4 linked regions of the Coturnix japonica genome follow. The main gene of each other region encodes a partner of the protein of the gene in region 2 in a complex. Links are inferred from orthologs where the notes say so. Each region holds a gene or a part of one and is shown on either strand. Other genes may lie near its edges.

Region 1 (3,588 bases), on a different chromosome or scaffold from region 2:
GATGTATCTTCCATTGAATTCAGCAAATCAGCTTTATCTGCAAGCATTTGTGATATGGGTTAGGGAGTTGGTTGTTGGAATGAATCTCCTTATTAGTTTTTATGTTATCTTTGGTAACACCTGGACAGTACTCATTTACCTTAACCACATCTTTAGCGTTGTGCTGCTTACTACTATTAGCTCTGTCTGGTATTAAAGATCACATGTATAGGTTCAAAAACCTTTTTTGGTTGTTGGTTGCTTTTTTAGGTATGAAGGTTATAGGTTTTTTAGAGACCATGTGTTTCTCCAGCTGGAAGAAATGCTCAAAATGCCTAAAAAGGATTTCAAAAGAGACCATGAATGTTATTAACTCAGTTTCTGCAGCACAAGGGATTGAGCATCACATCTCTTAATGTTAATTAATTGATTCTCATTCACCTTGACTGCTCCTGACCAGAAATAAGAGTTGTTCAGCGACGAACAACACAAAAAGAGCATTATACTTTACGGAAGTTAGAAATATCTAGTTTCATCACTAATGTTGAGCATAAAAGGAGATCTGGAATTGTATACAGTGAGAATGGAAATCTTTTATGAATGGAAAAGCACTACTCTATTTGAATGTTTCTAGTAATAGTTCCACGGCATAACTGGCGAATGGATGTACAAAAAGGCAGAAAAGCACTCCTCTAATTTTCAATATGCGTTCTGTTTTTATACTCAATAAAACTAAATTTTCTAGGCTTTATGTTACTCTACAAAATGGGCAGAAAATTATAATCTGTTGCCAATTAGAAATATATTGGAAAGGTGTATTTTTATATTCGTTTTTTGATTGTATGTATGATGTCCTTGATCAAGAAGAACATTCAGACGTACGAGTTGTATAAGACATGAATATGCCTTAGACTACATACTTATGAATTTGCAAATAACTACCTTAATACAAAGGGTTTGTAGCTAGAATTTTTAAAATTATATTTATATTTTTCTTTTGCACAAAACCAGTGGAACATTCTTTGGACAGTGGAGATGGACCTCCGATTCCTCCAGTGAAGCACTGTACTCCAGAATTCTATCGTGATCACCAGCACTTAGTAAGTAGTTAATAGAGAAAATCTCCTTCACAGGTGAAATATTTAGATATTTCAACTGATAGACACTACCTACAACTGAGTAAAAGCAAATAATTCATTATAGGTACATGTTAGTGTTTTGGCATTTATGTATGACTTTACAAATAAATACAATATTAGAACTATTTTTCAGCTCACAGGCACAATCCTGGCTCTTTTAATTGTCTGCTGTATCAGGAAATGTCTCCTTAGGTGCAGAAATAAGATCAGGATTCTGTGCAGTAGTGAGCAGAAGAAGCTGAATTTCTAATCCTTTTATTTATCTTCTGAAGTTATGTAGATAGTCATAATTATTTTTCTGTTTGTTCCATTTGTAAAGCATAGGTTGTGGTGCTGTAGGCTCAAAGAAAATAAAGAATTTTTTGTGATAGTGCAGTCATGTTAGTAGGATTACACTACAACTTAATTCTTAACTCATCTGTAACAGGCTCTGCATTCAGTAAAACATTTTCCATGTGTTGGGTTTGTTTGTTTGTTTTTTTTGTAACTGTTAGGAGACCTAATTTGCCAACATCAGCATGAGTCTAGCTTAATTTCTTTTTATATCTGTGTCTGGTTACACAGTATTTGATATGCTTCTTCAATATTAAATTTCACTTCCAATTCACGGGGATGTTATTACCAATTTATTATTAGTTTTTCGTTGGTAGAGTGGAAGGGGCAAAGTGGTTTTGAAGACACACTTCTTACATTAGTTTTTTTCCCTATTAACTTTTCTTGTCATCCTCATTACTTTGAAGATCAGTGATTTATTGATGCCTGCTGCTGCAGTTGCACTCACTCACAGGCTGGTTTATATTTCTTCTTACTCCCAACCACAATTAGGAAATGTAAGCTGAATTTTGTGTAATGTTTTCCTAGGACCTTTGGTGAGTATTACAAAAAACTTGTTTGGCCCTAATGGGGTATGTGTGGAAGGAGAAAAGCATGAGCAAGAGCTAACTCTCAATTTGAAATGCTGAATATGTCTTCCTTATAAAACAGGAAATAAGGCAAGCTATTACAACATCCTGTTAATAGTGTTGTAGGATCATTGATTGTGGAAGTTTGCAGAAACAGTTGCCTTTGAGATCTTTTGCAATATAAACATTTGCTGTATTAAAATAAAAAACAACAAAACAACAAACCAATACATATTTTACCTCTTCTGTTTTTGTGCCTTCTCAAGCTAGAAATCCTACATGTCATTAGTAATTAAGTTGGTGTATGGGGACTGGTGTTATACACAGACTCTGTTATTTCCTCACATAGTCTAAATGTACCAATTTTGAATCTTCTTCTCAGGCATACAAGCTGACATCAGAGCCCCGAGGCTTAGCACTTATTCTCAGCAATATCCATTTCAACAGTGAAAAGGACTTGGAGTATCGTTCAGGTGGAGATGTGGACTGTGCTTCCCTAGAACTGCTTTTCAAGCATCTTGGATATCGAGTGACTGTCTTTCATGATCAAAGTGCAGAGGTAAGGTGAATCCTACTACCACATTTGAGCCGGTATGGCTGAGTGGAATGGTGAGATGGAAATGGTCACTTATAAATAGAAAATGTGCCACAGCTTACCAAAAAAACACAAAGAAGCTTGAAAAGCAAAGAACGCTTGACATAAAGTAGGGTCACAAAGGACCAGAAGAGATACTAGTCTATACTAACCCCTCATAGTAGATGGGGTAAGATCTAGAACATACCTGGCATGTGTGTTAAAGCTGCAAATGAACAGGCTCCAGTTAATCCAGATAGCCTTTTAAAGTATTTTACTATTCTAAATGTTATTCTTTACAAATTTGACCTAGTTTTTGCAAATTTAAGTTTTCTTATCCTTTAACTGTTGGAGCAATTTTCACTCTTTCAGTCTGCTTTGCTAGAGAAGTGGCTGTGCTTTCCTTAAGAAAATTGATATTTTATGACTGACTGAATTAAGGCATTCTTTTTTTCTCTAGGTATGCACTTGCTGCCTTTTCCAACTTCATTTGCTCTTATTCCCTCTAAATCACTGTGAAACCAAGTGATACAAAACCTGCTAAAAAGTGTTTTATTCAAGCAGGCAACTTTCACTACATTATGATAAGGCTTTCAGTGTCTGAAGTACCAGTGTAAGCATCTGTTAAAGTGCTTCAATATCCCAGCCAAACTCCAGTGTTAGTATAAAACCTCTGTAAAGCAGTAGTTGCTGTCTCCTTTGTTAAATCCACATATGCCAACTCCAATATTTGTTGTGTCCCCCACCATTGACCAATATGGAAGAAGTCACAGAATCACATAGTCACCAAGGTTGGAAGAGACCTCCAAGATCATCAAGTCTAACTGTCCTCCTACCACCAATATTTCTACACCAAGCCATGTTCTGTAGTACAATACCTAAAACCTCCAGGTATGGTGGCTCCACCAGCTCCCTGGACAGCCCATTCCAGTGCCTGACTGCTCTTTCAGAGAAGAAATTTTTCCTAATACCCAACCTGAACCTCCCTGGCGCA
Region 2 (4,347 bases):
AGGGCATGCAAGGGACGTGGTCAAGGTTGCACATGTGCAAGGCCAGCTCACAGCCCAGCAACATCTCCCTCTGATCTCTGGCACTTGTGGCTACAACCTGCAGCTAAAACTTACACAGGAGAAACTACTGTGACCCAGCCCATGGCTGCAGCGAGGAGCATTTGGTGATTGAGCAGACAATGAGAGCCCCAGCAGACTGCTCTCTGTATATAACAGCATCACCAACAGCCGTTCAGCAACAAAGCAGCTAAACAGCACGGCTGGATGCTGTGCAGCGACCTACCAGGTAACCACAAACTCAACAATGAGATCAAGCTGCAGCAAAATCGAATTCTAATGCAGGTAATGAGCACACCTGACACAAGGGAAGCAGCTTTGTATTTCTCAGCACCATGTGCAGGAAGCAAGCAGACAGCAAGCTCCTTGTGCAGGGAATGCAGGCATTGAATGCAGGCATTGCCATGCTGCTCCCAGGAGGACGTGATGCAGCCCTGCTCCTGCATTACCTTGTGTGGATGCAGCCTGCATGCTCTCTGCTACCACCTGGGTGCAATGCAGCTCGCAGCAGCGCATATGACATCACCGTGCGTTGCTACGGAAATGAGTGCGAGGTCACAAGCCTGCTGCACAGCCAGAGCTGGGGGATGGGGAGGATCAGGGATAACCAAGTGTGACATGCCCAGTGCCGTGGGACCGAGCCGGAGTTTGGGCAGCGCTGCACTGAAATGAGGAACAAAGCTCTGTGTCTTTTGTCTGCTGGGGAGGGAGGCGGCGGCGCTCCCGCTGGGAGTCATTTTCTTAGGGCCGAACAACGTGGAGAGCTGATAAGCAGCATTAAAGCCGGTTACTGTTTCACCAGGGCCGGGGAGGACTAAAGGGAAAAAATGCAAATATAATCTGTAACAACAACGTCGGGTTAGATTCAGATCCCTGGGATGCAAGCTAGAGAAATTCACAGGGCAGAAATATGGCCACAAACCCCAGTGTTAAATCCATGGGCATATCCCTGCTGGCTTTGTGCTAATGGCCGCACCATCCATGTGCAATGAGCTGCTCACACAGCAGGCACTGCCTTAAAATGGATAGATGCCGCCATCGGAAAATAGTATAAAATCCATAGGGCAGCAGTGGAATAGCCCGGCTGTTCTCATATGCTATTATCTGGTTTCAATTATCCATATTTCATTTCTTGAAAAGACATCTCCTCCCTCCTCCCCTCTCTGGGGCTGCGATGATTTTTGTCTGCTTGATAAACGCAAGGTTATTGTCAAAATGGTGCAACACAGCCAACAGGGCTGCATCCAGCAGACTGCGACACTCCTAGATCAGCATTCCCTCCTCATCAGCAAGGGAGGACACCCCAGCTCCTCTTAAAGGTTCAGACCTGACTAAGGAGACAAACATAAAGCACAGTTTTCCCCTTTAAAGCACCCCCTCCCTCCCTCCACCCAGTCTAGCCTCTCTGCAATATGACAAATGCAGAATCTTCTGGAATGACTTGATCCTGCCTCCCACGATTGCTTTGTTTGCAAGATCAGATCAGAGATATGGGCTGGTTTTGTTGGTTTTTCTTTTTTTTCCCCCCTTCTTCTTCTTTTTTACTTCTTACATTGTCAAAATGTCAGCATTGAAGGGGAGCGTTCAGTGTCACAAATCAGATCAGCCTGCTATATGCAGAGTCTTTATTTTAAGAGCGTGAAATGAATACAACATGACTCAATTCATAAATCTCGAAACAAGTGCAGCAAAAAAGATATGGAATAAATCAGAGCCCTGGCAGCTAAAAGCTCAGCTCCATGGGGTCAGGGACACGGCAGCCGCACCGGGGAAGGGATGAGCGGCAGCACAAGGGGCCAATGGGGCAGCAAAGCCCCACAGCCTCACCCCATAGGGCTGGGAGAGGGGGAAGCATGGGCAGTGCTGCACCCCAAGGGTGGCTCCCACAGCAGGACATGGCAAAGGGGGCACGGTGGGGGGCAATGGAATGGGGGTCAGGGGACACGGATTAAGGCAAGGTATAGGAGTTTGTGCACAGCACAATGGGTGGAGTACAGGGTGGGTTTGGAGCAGAGGGGACACAGATGGAGGCTGGAGACAGGGTTTGGGGCAGAGATGACACAAATGGAACATGGCAACGTAGATGGGACAAGGGATGGGGGATTGGGTAAGGGATAAGAGAACACGGATGGGGCGCAGCACAGAGCGGGAGAGCAAAGGGATGGGGTGGGGGATGGGAAACACAGACTGGGTTAAGGATGGGGATCAGGGCAAGGGGGTGGGAGGTACAAATAGGACAGAGCCCATAGCGGATGGGGAAGGAAACGGGACACAGATACGACACAGTATATGATGGAATAGGCAGGGGATGGGGATCATAGCGGGGTGTGGGGGCATATAAATGAGGCACAGCGTAGAATGGAGGGGACAGAGAGCGGGGGGAAAGGGGGCAGGGATAAAGGACACATATAGGGCACAGCACGAGGGGCTGAGGATCGGCACAAAGGGACGGAGCGGGGACACGGCGGGGAACGGAGCGTGGGGGGGAAGGGGAACGGCTACTCACGTTCTTCATGGCGGCCGCCATGTCGTCGTAGCGCTCGGCTTGCTCGGCCAGCCGGGCCTTCTGCACCAGCTGCTCGCGGTCCACCATCTTCACGGGGCCGGGAGGGGAAAAGGGCGCGGAGACTGCGGGAGGAGGAGGAGGAGGAGAGAGGAGGAGGAAGGAAGGAGGAGGAAGGAGGAGGCGGCGGCTCCTGGCGCTGCTGTGGCGGTGACGGCGGCGGCGGCGGCGGCTGCACCCGGAGCTGTGCGCGCGCCGCGGGCCACCACAACCCCCCTGCGGCCCCGCCCCGCCCCGCCCTGCGCCGCTCCGCCCCCGCGCGGGGCACGCCGGGATTCGTAGTCCTCCTCGTAATATCCCTCCTTGCTCCGCTCCCCTCTTAGGACTCCATTTCCCAGCGCGCCCCGCGCGGAGATACAGCCCCTCCCGCCGCGCGCCACAAGATGGCCGCCCCTCAGGCCGCCCCCTCAGTCCCGCCGCCCCGCTGCTGATTCACCGCCCGCAGCGCCCTCAGCCCGCGCGGCCCAACAGCCCCCACAGCAGCCCCACACCTTCCATAACGCCCATCCAACCTATAAACCAGGCAGAAAGGCCTGCAGCACGCACACAGCGCTGCCCTGCGTGGAGATATGGCCGCTGCCTGTGGAGATGTGGCCGCCATCAGCACTGACATGGCTGCCATACAGTGTGCGCACCTCAGTGCTGATCCATGGACTGCAGCCTGCCCTCAGTGCTGGGAGCGCTGTGTGAGGGGGTCTGGGAGCTGAAAGAACCCATGGAGCCATTTAGTACATCCATTGCTCTGTTGGATAATGGCACGTCCATCAACATGGATAACATTGGAGTGAATAAGAGAAGCACAGAAGGTGACATCCCTTGTGGTATTTCAGGTAGTTTAGAAACACCATCTGGGCCCACCAGGGCTGCCCACCACCATGGGTCAGGTCTGCAGCCTGGCCCTGGGGCAGCACTGTGTGTATGAAGGTTGGTTTAGCACATGGATCCCTGGGTCTGGTAGAATTGATGCTCCTCACAATTGTGGCTGGCCCTACTGGTCACTGTATCCTATTTATGGGGCTGTGTGTTTGATCCAGATTGAGACAGTGCTGATGTATTGCTGTCAGTGCACCGCAGCACTCGGTGCTTTTCACAACGTGGATGACATTCTTCCCCACCTCAGGTCAGGGTGCGATATCCATCACGCTGTAAATAATGTGGCCATAATATGGAGCTGCAGCATTCCCTGTGCACCATCCCTGTAGGAGAACTCACAGAGACCCAGAGGATGTGGGTCTGTTCTGCAGATGTCCCTGAAAAACCCAATAACCCTCATTCCACCCGCAGCTTTAAAATAGCTCTGGAACACTTGGATGTGCCACTTTGTTAATTCCCATGGCCTGGAAGACAAGTCCTCCTCCTCACGTTCTCTTCCCTTCCCTGCTATGTGCTGCAAATGCCTTCTGACACCGCAAGGGAAGGCAGTAAATCCTCTCTGACTGGGAGACTCACTGAGGGCTGCTTCAAATTGTCATCCTGAGCTGAATGCGGGGTCATAGGGGTGGTGGCATTCATGAATTGGGACTGGCTCTGAGCAGCTGGGACAGGGCCTGCAGTGATGTAGGATGCCCCATGGGGGCATGAAGGAAGCGGGGACACAGAGCTTGGGGTCAGAGGGATGGGAAAGAGGTGGGGTGGCTGGGATGGAGGTGGCTGGAGGTACAGGTGAAGGTGAGGATGGAGGAGGAGGATGGAAAATGGAGGTGGAGGACAATGGGGACCCACGGGGA
Region 3 (3,588 bases), on a different chromosome or scaffold from region 2:
AGGAGAACGGAGCTAATTTTAACCCACTGCCTCGTGCGGAGTGGAACACCCAGCAATGCTGGGTCCTCAGCGCTGCCCCTGGGCTGGTTTGGGTTCTTATTGGGTTGCCCCTTTTGGGGTGCAGGAGGGAAGGGTGATGGCTTTGCTGTGGCATGGGCAGACCTGCTGGAGCCCTGCTCATGGATCAGGCTCACGGTGCTGCTGCCATCCACCAGCACATATGTTCAGTGTCAAGTATCCAGCATCACACAGGGATGGATTACAACCAACCAATTTCTTTTCCTTTAAAAGTACGTACATATCTGCTGCTTATACCATTGTTTTCCTTTTTATTCCAGGGTGCTAAAATCCCATTTTTGCAAAGGAGGCTGTAGGGAACTCGGGGCAAGCAGGAGAATCCCCAGTGAATGCTGTGCTGTGGGTGAAGGCAGTGAGCCCCAGGGCAGATCCCACAGCTCGTGCTTGGTAAGGGCTCAGTGCACCTCTTTCAGGGGCTGTTTGGCAAGATCTGCCCACTCTGTGCAGGGCAGCAGTGAACTGAGCAGTGTGTATACATACATAGTGCAGACCTGTGTAAAATACTGCAGCCCCAGCTGTGGGTTTCCTATAGGGGAGGTGGCTGGGATTCTATGTTCAGGGGTGAGCACAGTGATAGCAGTGCTGTTGAAGAGAGAGGACTCTGCTCAGTGCCACCCAGTTTCCTCCACTCTTACTAATATTTTACTTAATATTAGGTGAAGCCATTTATTACATGAATAATGTAATATTAGTGGCTTGCTTCATGTAGGATCCCCCTGACACTGTGCTTACAGGTGTCTGTACCCCTCGGAGCACTGACAGAGGCCGGGATGAGGCCGGCAACCTCACCATGCCATCCTGCATCCCCGGCAGCTCCCCTGCTGCCCCTCAGCCCCCACACCGCCACAGAGGGCCCGGGCTGCCGCTGAGTGCCGGCCACCCCACCATGGAGTCACTCATAGTGGTGACCGAGTGCGAGGCAACAGCAAGTGAGGAGGAGATGAGCGTGGCTGCTGTGGAGGAGAGCCGGGAGCCCAGGGCGAAGCTGAACCTCTCCGGCCGAAAGCTGTCCCTGCAGGAGCGCTCGCACCCCGCGCGCTCCCCTGGAAGTGGTGACAGCGAGCGCTTCATCTACCCATCCCTCCCCTACTCACCAGTGACATCCCCACACTCATCCCCGCGCCTGCCAAGGCGGCCGACAGTGGAATCCAACCGTGTCTCCATCACTGGGCTGCAGGTGAGGCTCTGCTCCTGTCTCCGTGTCTCGCTGCGCTGCTTCTTGCTTGGTGCTTTGGGATGGAGCCCTGTGGATAGTGGGAGGGTGTTGGTTCTGGTCCATCCCCAGCCATGGGGACAGCCCCATGTATAGCACAGAGCATCTCCCAGGGTTAATGCTGCGGTAGGAGTGCATGTTCTATATATCCCAAATGCTACCAGCTCTGGAAAATGTGCTTCGTGAGAGTAGAGCAGCTGGAAGTCACAGCCTGTCCATGCTTAACATGTATCCGCGTGTGGTCAGATTCACTTCTTTAGCTCCATGAAGGAAATGGAGATTTTGTTTGTTTGTTTGTTTTCCCCTTGAAAAGGAAGAGACCTCAGTAAAGCTTTAAGGGGATAATTGCACTGCCCACCACAGCCTTCTCAGCACCCACAGAATGCAGGCAGTGAACATCTGCAGGACAAAACAAAAACATTTGGTGCTGGGTGAGCATTAAGCCCCCAGGTGCCAGTTGCCACTGCTGCCCTTGGTGCTCTCATTTTGCATGAGCAGACAGTGCTGCCTGCCTGGTGCTCAACGCCAGTAATTAGCTGTCTATAAAAACAAGGCGGTGTGTGGCTACGTGTGGTTTATTGCTAACAAACTCTGGCCCGAGGCCTGGGCTGCTGGCTGACTCGCCTTCTCTCCCTCAGGACTGTGTCCAGCTCAACCAGTACAAGCTGAAGGATGAGATTGGGAAGGTGAATATTCTCCGGCTTTGGGGTTGGAGTGGGAATTTGGGGTGGGAATGTGCTGGATTCGCTCTTGCTTTTAAATCTTACATCAGTTGTGAGGTCAGCCCTTCACCATGGCATCTCCATTGGCTCCTCAGCGTGATGCCCATTGATTCATTTTTTAAATTAGCATTATTTTTCCCCTTTCCAACAAAATAGGGTATCTGAGCCTTTTCTTTGCCAGTCCAAGGGCACTATGCTCCCCACTGACCCCCTGCTTCGCCTGGGGTATGAAGAGGAGCCTGCCTGGTGCTGGAGTGTTTTTTGGTTGGTCACCCACGTGTCCCTCTCTAGGGCTCCTATGGGGTGGTGAAGCTGGCCTACAATGAGGATGACAACACCTACTATGTGAGTAGTGCTGCTGCCCACAGCATGTGCTGGGATTGGGATAGGGACAGGGATGGGTCTGCCTATGGCTCCCGGGGTGTTTTTTTTCCAAACCCCACCAATTTTCCCCTGTGTAGGCAATGAAGGTTCTCTCCAAGAAGAAGCTGATGAGGCAGGCAGGCTTCCCCCGTAAGTGGCACCCAGTGGTGTGACAGCTCCGGGATGGGTGGTATCTTGGGAGCAGAAGGGACTTGGTGCCATGCCCACCCTATTTTTGCCTTTCCTGTAGGCCGCCCTCCACCCCGTGGGGCCAAAGGTGCCTCAGAGGGCTGCCTGCAGCGCCGGGGCCCCATCGAGCAGGTTTACCAGGAGATTGCCATCCTGAAGAAGCTGGACCACCCCAACGTGGTGAAGCTCGTGGAGGTGAGCACAGAATCACAGAATCACAGTGACAGTCCTGTTGATGTCTTCCTTACCATAGAAGGACTTTTCTTGCCTCCTCTCACCTTTTCATTTCTGCTTGGAAATAGAAAAGCAGAAATATTTCACTTCTCTTGAGGACACAGATCAGATCTGGGGAGGAAATGGTGTTCCTGTGAGTTCTGCAGCCACGCTGCCCACCACCCAATGACAGCCTGAAAAGGTCCAGGGGAAACGAAAATTAGGAATTAAGGACGTGCAGGCTGGGATTCATTTGCCTTATGAGTCAGATGACGCTTCCTGTGTGTCTGAAATATTTATTTCCAACAACATCTTTCCTCTTATTTATCCCCCACCTTGTGGGCAGAAGCTGAGATTAGCAGAGCAAACCCACATGGTTTTAAGTTAAAATGTCACGAGTAGGACCTGAGGGTGGGCAGGCGCTCACAACCTGCCAACATCTCCCTCCTTAACTCCCTGAACCCCTGGGGGGAAAAACTGGGCAGCCTGATGAACAATCAACAAATGACAGCGTTTCTTTTGTGAGGCAGCTTCTTGCAGTGTTCCATTTCTTCTCTGCATCCTTTGGCAGGTGCTGGATGACCCCAGTGAGGACCACCTGTACATGGGTAAGTGCCCGCAGGTGCTGTTGGTGTGGGTTCCCACTGCGTTTTGGGGCAGCTGCATATGGGCCTGGGTCTCCACGGGTTTATTTTAATGTATTACTTTCATGAATTCATCATTAAAATTGTTGTTTTGGTGCTGGGACCGTGCTTGCAGGAGCTCACACCTGTATGTAGTCAGTAATCACCATTCCCTTTCTGTTTCAGT
Region 4 (3,588 bases), on a different chromosome or scaffold from region 2:
AAGCTAAGCAGTATAAGGCCCTTCTGCTTATTATGCTTCTTTCAGGAGCTGAGAGATACAAAACTCAGCAATCTGCAAGTGCTATTAAGTTCTAGCCCTGCATCCTCATCCTTACAGTGCACCAATGATAAGGGAAGTTCTGAACCCCAGTTCTGAGACACCCTCTGTTGTAGTTATAAACAGTTTCTTGTTGTCCTTAGTGTGATACTTTCAGGCGATTAATCCTTAATGTGGCTTTTTTATGCCTAAATCTTCTTTGAATAGATTTGCTGAAGTTATATGGCAAAGCTTCTCTTCTTACATTTAGGGAGAAAGGCTTATTTTCAGATTTGAGTCACTGATCTTCAAAGAGTGAGTTACTTTTAAGTAGTCACTCCTGCATGTGTTCAATAACTGTGTTTTGATTTAGCTTTATTAGATTTAAAATCAATATTGCTTTTCATACCAATGACCTAATCCCTATTAAAGCTCTGCCCTGACAAGCTTTCAAAGTTCAGCCTTTTTTTTTTATAAGCTTATGAAACGAGTACAGTCTGAACTGTTTAAAAGAAAGGACATTAATCTATTTACCTTTGCTAGGTTTAAAAATAGTACACATACATTTTTGCTCCAAATAAAAGTCATGAGCGCTTTGGGACCAGAATTTCACCTCATTGATCTATTTGCAAAAGGCTTAAAGCCTGTTGAATTACAGTGAAAATTACATTGTTCCCTCTGTTTTAGCAGGCACGTTTGGAGAAGCTCGCTACCTCTTGTTAGGAAGGTCTGGTTAGAATGATGCTCTTCTTGCAGTTGGTTTCTGTAAAGGTGCTGTAAGTTTAGTGTCTTCAGGATGTAGTATTTCCTTGATAGCACTTAATGTTGAGACTAAACTGACCTTTCTGTTGTTTTAGACCTTGTTTATAATGTAGGAGCTGTAGGTCATGATCTCTCTTTTCATGAAGCTGGCTTTTTCAGGAGAGCACAGTCAACTTGACCTGCAGTGAGTTAAATGTTACTATCAATTAACCTCCTGGATGTTTACAGATAATATCAAAACCCAATGAGCCAGCTCGCCAGCATGAAAGCCACCCGGAGGAGACAGAAGAAGAGCTTCGAGAACACCAAGCCCTTTTGGAGGAGCCATACAGCGACAGAGTCTCAAGCCAAAAGGATGTCCCAGGGCTGGCTAATGTGGTGCAGGTAAAGCAAGAACCCATCGAGAGCGATGAGGAGGAAGTTGAGCCGCAGCAGGAGCTGGAGTCTGGGCAGAGGCAGGCTGAGCAGGAGCTGCTTTTCCGCCAGGTAAGCTCCTGTAGTTGAGTTGTTTAATGGCATCTGGAGGGACAGGTTCAATCTATGTATGATGTGGATGAAAGTCAAGATGATAACCAGCCTCACCTCACAGATACTTACATCTGCTAGGAGTGGGTGTCAGAAATTACTGCTGGTTACAACTGACCCTAAAAAATAGCTTCAAGATTTTCCCAGCCTTTGAACGGTGGGTTGTAATCATCATATTGGGACCAAGCTTCCCTTTTGGTGTAGAGAATGGAAAGGTTAGTGCTAAATTAGTTGGACATATGTGGCTTGTGCTTGCAGACATGTCCCTAAGAGTAGCTGCATGCAGACTACAGAAGGACAGGACTTGATGTTTGTAAGAGGACAGAGGGAGGTGTGAAAAAGCCTTGCAAGAAAGCAGTGCAATTGTTTTACAAAGTAAATCCTCATATTATCACAGCGACCATCTGGGACTTGGCTTTTTGTGACTACCCTCAACATCTTCTGAGCACTGAATACTAGCAGAGAACGCGCTCATGCAAGGCATCCTAGCAGAGGAGTTTGTTTTGTAACTCTTACATTCTAGAACAAATTAACAACTGCAGAGAAGGGCTGGATAAGGGTTGGAGTGTCAAAGGGGTTTTTTTGGAGGGGATTCCTTCTTCAGCAATGCAAATCCCTGGCATCACAGGTTTGCTCCATTTTGATGGGAAAGACCAGAGGCACTAAATCCAGTAACCATGTAGCGTAGCCTTACCTCCCAATTACATGGCAGTCTCCCAGAAAACACTGTTTGTGGTAGCATTAATGAGTGAGAAAGTTACAATTCTCTGGAGGGACCTGAAGTGCTGAGCTTGTCTTTGCAGCCCTTCGTGCCTGACTGTATCTTGAGCCTCGTGTAACCCCTGCACAGCCCTTGCAGCCAAAAACAGATTGCTGAAGCACTGCCAGCGTGTTGCTCTCAGAGTAAATCCACAGCCCTTGGCTAGGGAAGGCAGACTGGTGCCAAGCTTGCTGTTGCAATGTCTGAATCAGGTGCAAATTGCTTGCTCCGCATAGACATTTGCATTGTGCTGCTTGCTGCTGTCTCCCTGGCACTGCGGGGCTGGCTTGTGGGCCCCACATGTCACTGCCTGCAGCTCAGAGACATCTCCAGTCCCAAATTGAGGAGCACTGTCTTCATAACGATGCTGCCTTGAGGGGTTGATACCACTGCCAACCGTGCTTGTGCAAAGCAATTTCCTAGATTTATGCAATCACATGTAGGCCTCATTTCTCTAGTAAGAATAAATAAACATGATGTGAGACATGCTGCCGATGCCGGACCTTTTGTGAGGCTACCTTTGGTAGCTACCTGCTTCTCTTCCCCACAGCAAGCCCTCCTGTTGGAGCAGCAGCGCATTCACCAGCTGAGAAACTACCAGGCATCGCTGGAGGCAGCTGGCATGCCCGTCTCCTTTGGAGGCCATCGGCCCCTGTCCCGTGCACAGTCCTCACCCGCCTCGGCTACCTTCCCTATGTCCGTACAGGAGCCACCCACTAAGCCAAGGTTCACTACAGGTAATGTTGGAGGGCACTGGAAACCAATCAGTGGGGCTTTGATTGCTGTTCTGCTTCACGTTGTGTTTTTCTGCCCCATGTCCCTGCAAGGCCGTCTGTCTAAGGGCTGAGTCTCAGCTGTCTGTGGGCTCCATAATATCCTGTTGTCTTTGAGGATGTGATTGGTCATCCTAAGGGACCTTGAGGGACAGACACCCTGTAGTCCAGACAGAAAATAGTCTGCAAAAATCAATAGAAATATAGCATAGTACTTTAATTATGTATCTCCAAAAAAATAGAGGACAAGCCATACACTGTGACAAGGCTGATTTAGATGCAAGGAGGAGAGATGCAGTGTTATTGAAAAAGGACGGCGTGCCAAATGCAGTATCTGTCAGCTGTATTTTCTGCACCTTCTCCAGTCCCTGCATAATCTCATGCCATAAGTTATCCAGTTCAGGCTTTGTGCCAGACTGCCCCTCCTTCCACAGCACTCTGCCTGGGAGTCTGTGCCTGTGGGTTAGGAGAAGTGAGGTTGAGTTGGTCAATCCAAGATGTCACTGTGGAGAAACAGAATGAAGAGCGTTTTCATAACTGTTCGGTCTTCATCTCCAAACAAAAATGACGAGTGCAATTCTGTACTTGTCTCACAAGAATCCGAAATGCAAAAAAGAAGCTGTTAGTCTCCCCAGAAAGATTTGAGATGTAAATCAGGGAGGGCTTACGAGTGCCTTTTTTCCCATCAAAATCTATTCTGTCTGTTCATAAGAGATAAAAGTAAATCATGTG

The links.
Region 1: the proteins of YWHAG (region 2) and CASP2 are in contact, whole or in part, in a crystal structure (PDB 6S9K), measured with the Homo sapiens proteins. The link is inferred for Coturnix japonica from reciprocal best matches to the Homo sapiens genes YWHAG and CASP2. Residues at the interface, in NP_036611.2 of Homo sapiens: Glu15, Asn43, Val47, Arg57, Arg61, Lys125, Arg132, Tyr133, Pro170, Gly174, Leu177, Asn178, Val181, Glu185, Glu213, Asp214, Lys217, Asp218, Leu221, Ile222, Leu225, Asn229, Leu232, Trp233; in NP_116764.2 of Homo sapiens: Asp137, Leu138, Ser139, Leu140, Pro141, Phe142, Pro143, Val144, Cys145, Glu146, Leu150, Lys152, Lys153, Leu154, Ser157.
Region 3: the proteins of YWHAG (region 2) and CAMKK2 are in contact, whole or in part, in a crystal structure (PDB 6Y6B), measured with the Homo sapiens proteins. The link is inferred for Coturnix japonica from reciprocal best matches to the Homo sapiens genes YWHAG and CAMKK2. Residues at the interface, in NP_036611.2 of Homo sapiens: Ser46, Val47, Lys50, Asn51, Arg57, Arg132, Tyr133, Gly174, Leu177, Asn178, Val181, Glu185, Ile222, Leu225, Asn229, Trp233; in NP_001257414.1 of Homo sapiens: Leu99, Ser100, Leu101, Gln102, Glu103, Arg104.
Region 4: the proteins of YWHAG (region 2) and HDAC4 are in contact, whole or in part, in a crystal structure (PDB 3UZD), measured with the Homo sapiens proteins. The link is inferred for Coturnix japonica from reciprocal best matches to the Homo sapiens genes YWHAG and HDAC4. Residues at the interface, in NP_036611.2 of Homo sapiens: Asn43, Leu44, Ser46, Val47, Lys50, Asn51, Arg57, Phe122, Lys125, Arg132, Tyr133, Gly174, Leu177, Asn178, Val181, Glu185, Leu221, Ile222, Leu225, Asn229, Trp233; in NP_001365345.1 of Homo sapiens: Ser348, Pro349, Ser350, Leu351, Pro352, Asn353, Ile354, Leu356.

What each region holds. Positions count from the first base shown.
Region 1 is NC_029516.1:69,870,686-69,874,273, reverse strand, and holds part of CASP2 (caspase-2), read left to right. Parts: intron 1-990; coding exon 991-1,079; intron 1,080-2,402; coding exon 2,403-2,579; intron 2,580-3,588. UniProt on the Homo sapiens protein: Is a regulator of the cascade of caspases responsible for apoptosis execution. Might function by either activating some proteins required for cell death or inactivating proteins necessary for cell survival.
Region 2 is NC_029534.1:3,142,788-3,147,134, reverse strand, and holds the start of YWHAG (14-3-3 protein gamma), read right to left. Parts: upstream 2,834-4,347; 5' UTR 2,651-2,833; coding exon 2,564-2,650; intron 1-2,563. UniProt on the Homo sapiens protein: Adapter protein implicated in the regulation of a large spectrum of both general and specialized signaling pathways. Binds to a large number of partners, usually by recognition of a phosphoserine or phosphothreonine motif.
Region 3 is NC_029530.1:4,667,080-4,670,667, reverse strand, and holds part of CAMKK2 (calcium/calmodulin-dependent protein kinase kinase 2), read left to right. Parts: intron 1-338; 5' UTR 339-465; intron 466-812; 5' UTR 813-868; coding exon 869-1,255; intron 1,256-1,929; coding exon 1,930-1,977; intron 1,978-2,304; coding exon 2,305-2,358; intron 2,359-2,474; coding exon 2,475-2,526; intron 2,527-2,626; coding exon 2,627-2,760; intron 2,761-3,349; coding exon 3,350-3,386; intron 3,387-3,587; coding exon 3,588-3,588. UniProt on the Homo sapiens protein: Calcium/calmodulin-dependent protein kinase belonging to a proposed calcium-triggered signaling cascade involved in a number of cellular processes. Isoform 1, isoform 2 and isoform 3 phosphorylate CAMK1 and CAMK4. Isoform 3 phosphorylates CAMK1D.
Region 4 is NC_029522.1:3,024,555-3,028,142, forward strand, and holds part of HDAC4 (histone deacetylase 4), read left to right. Parts: intron 1-1,026; coding exon 1,027-1,284; intron 1,285-2,633; coding exon 2,634-2,820; intron 2,821-3,588. UniProt on the Homo sapiens protein: Responsible for the deacetylation of lysine residues on the N-terminal part of the core histones (H2A, H2B, H3 and H4).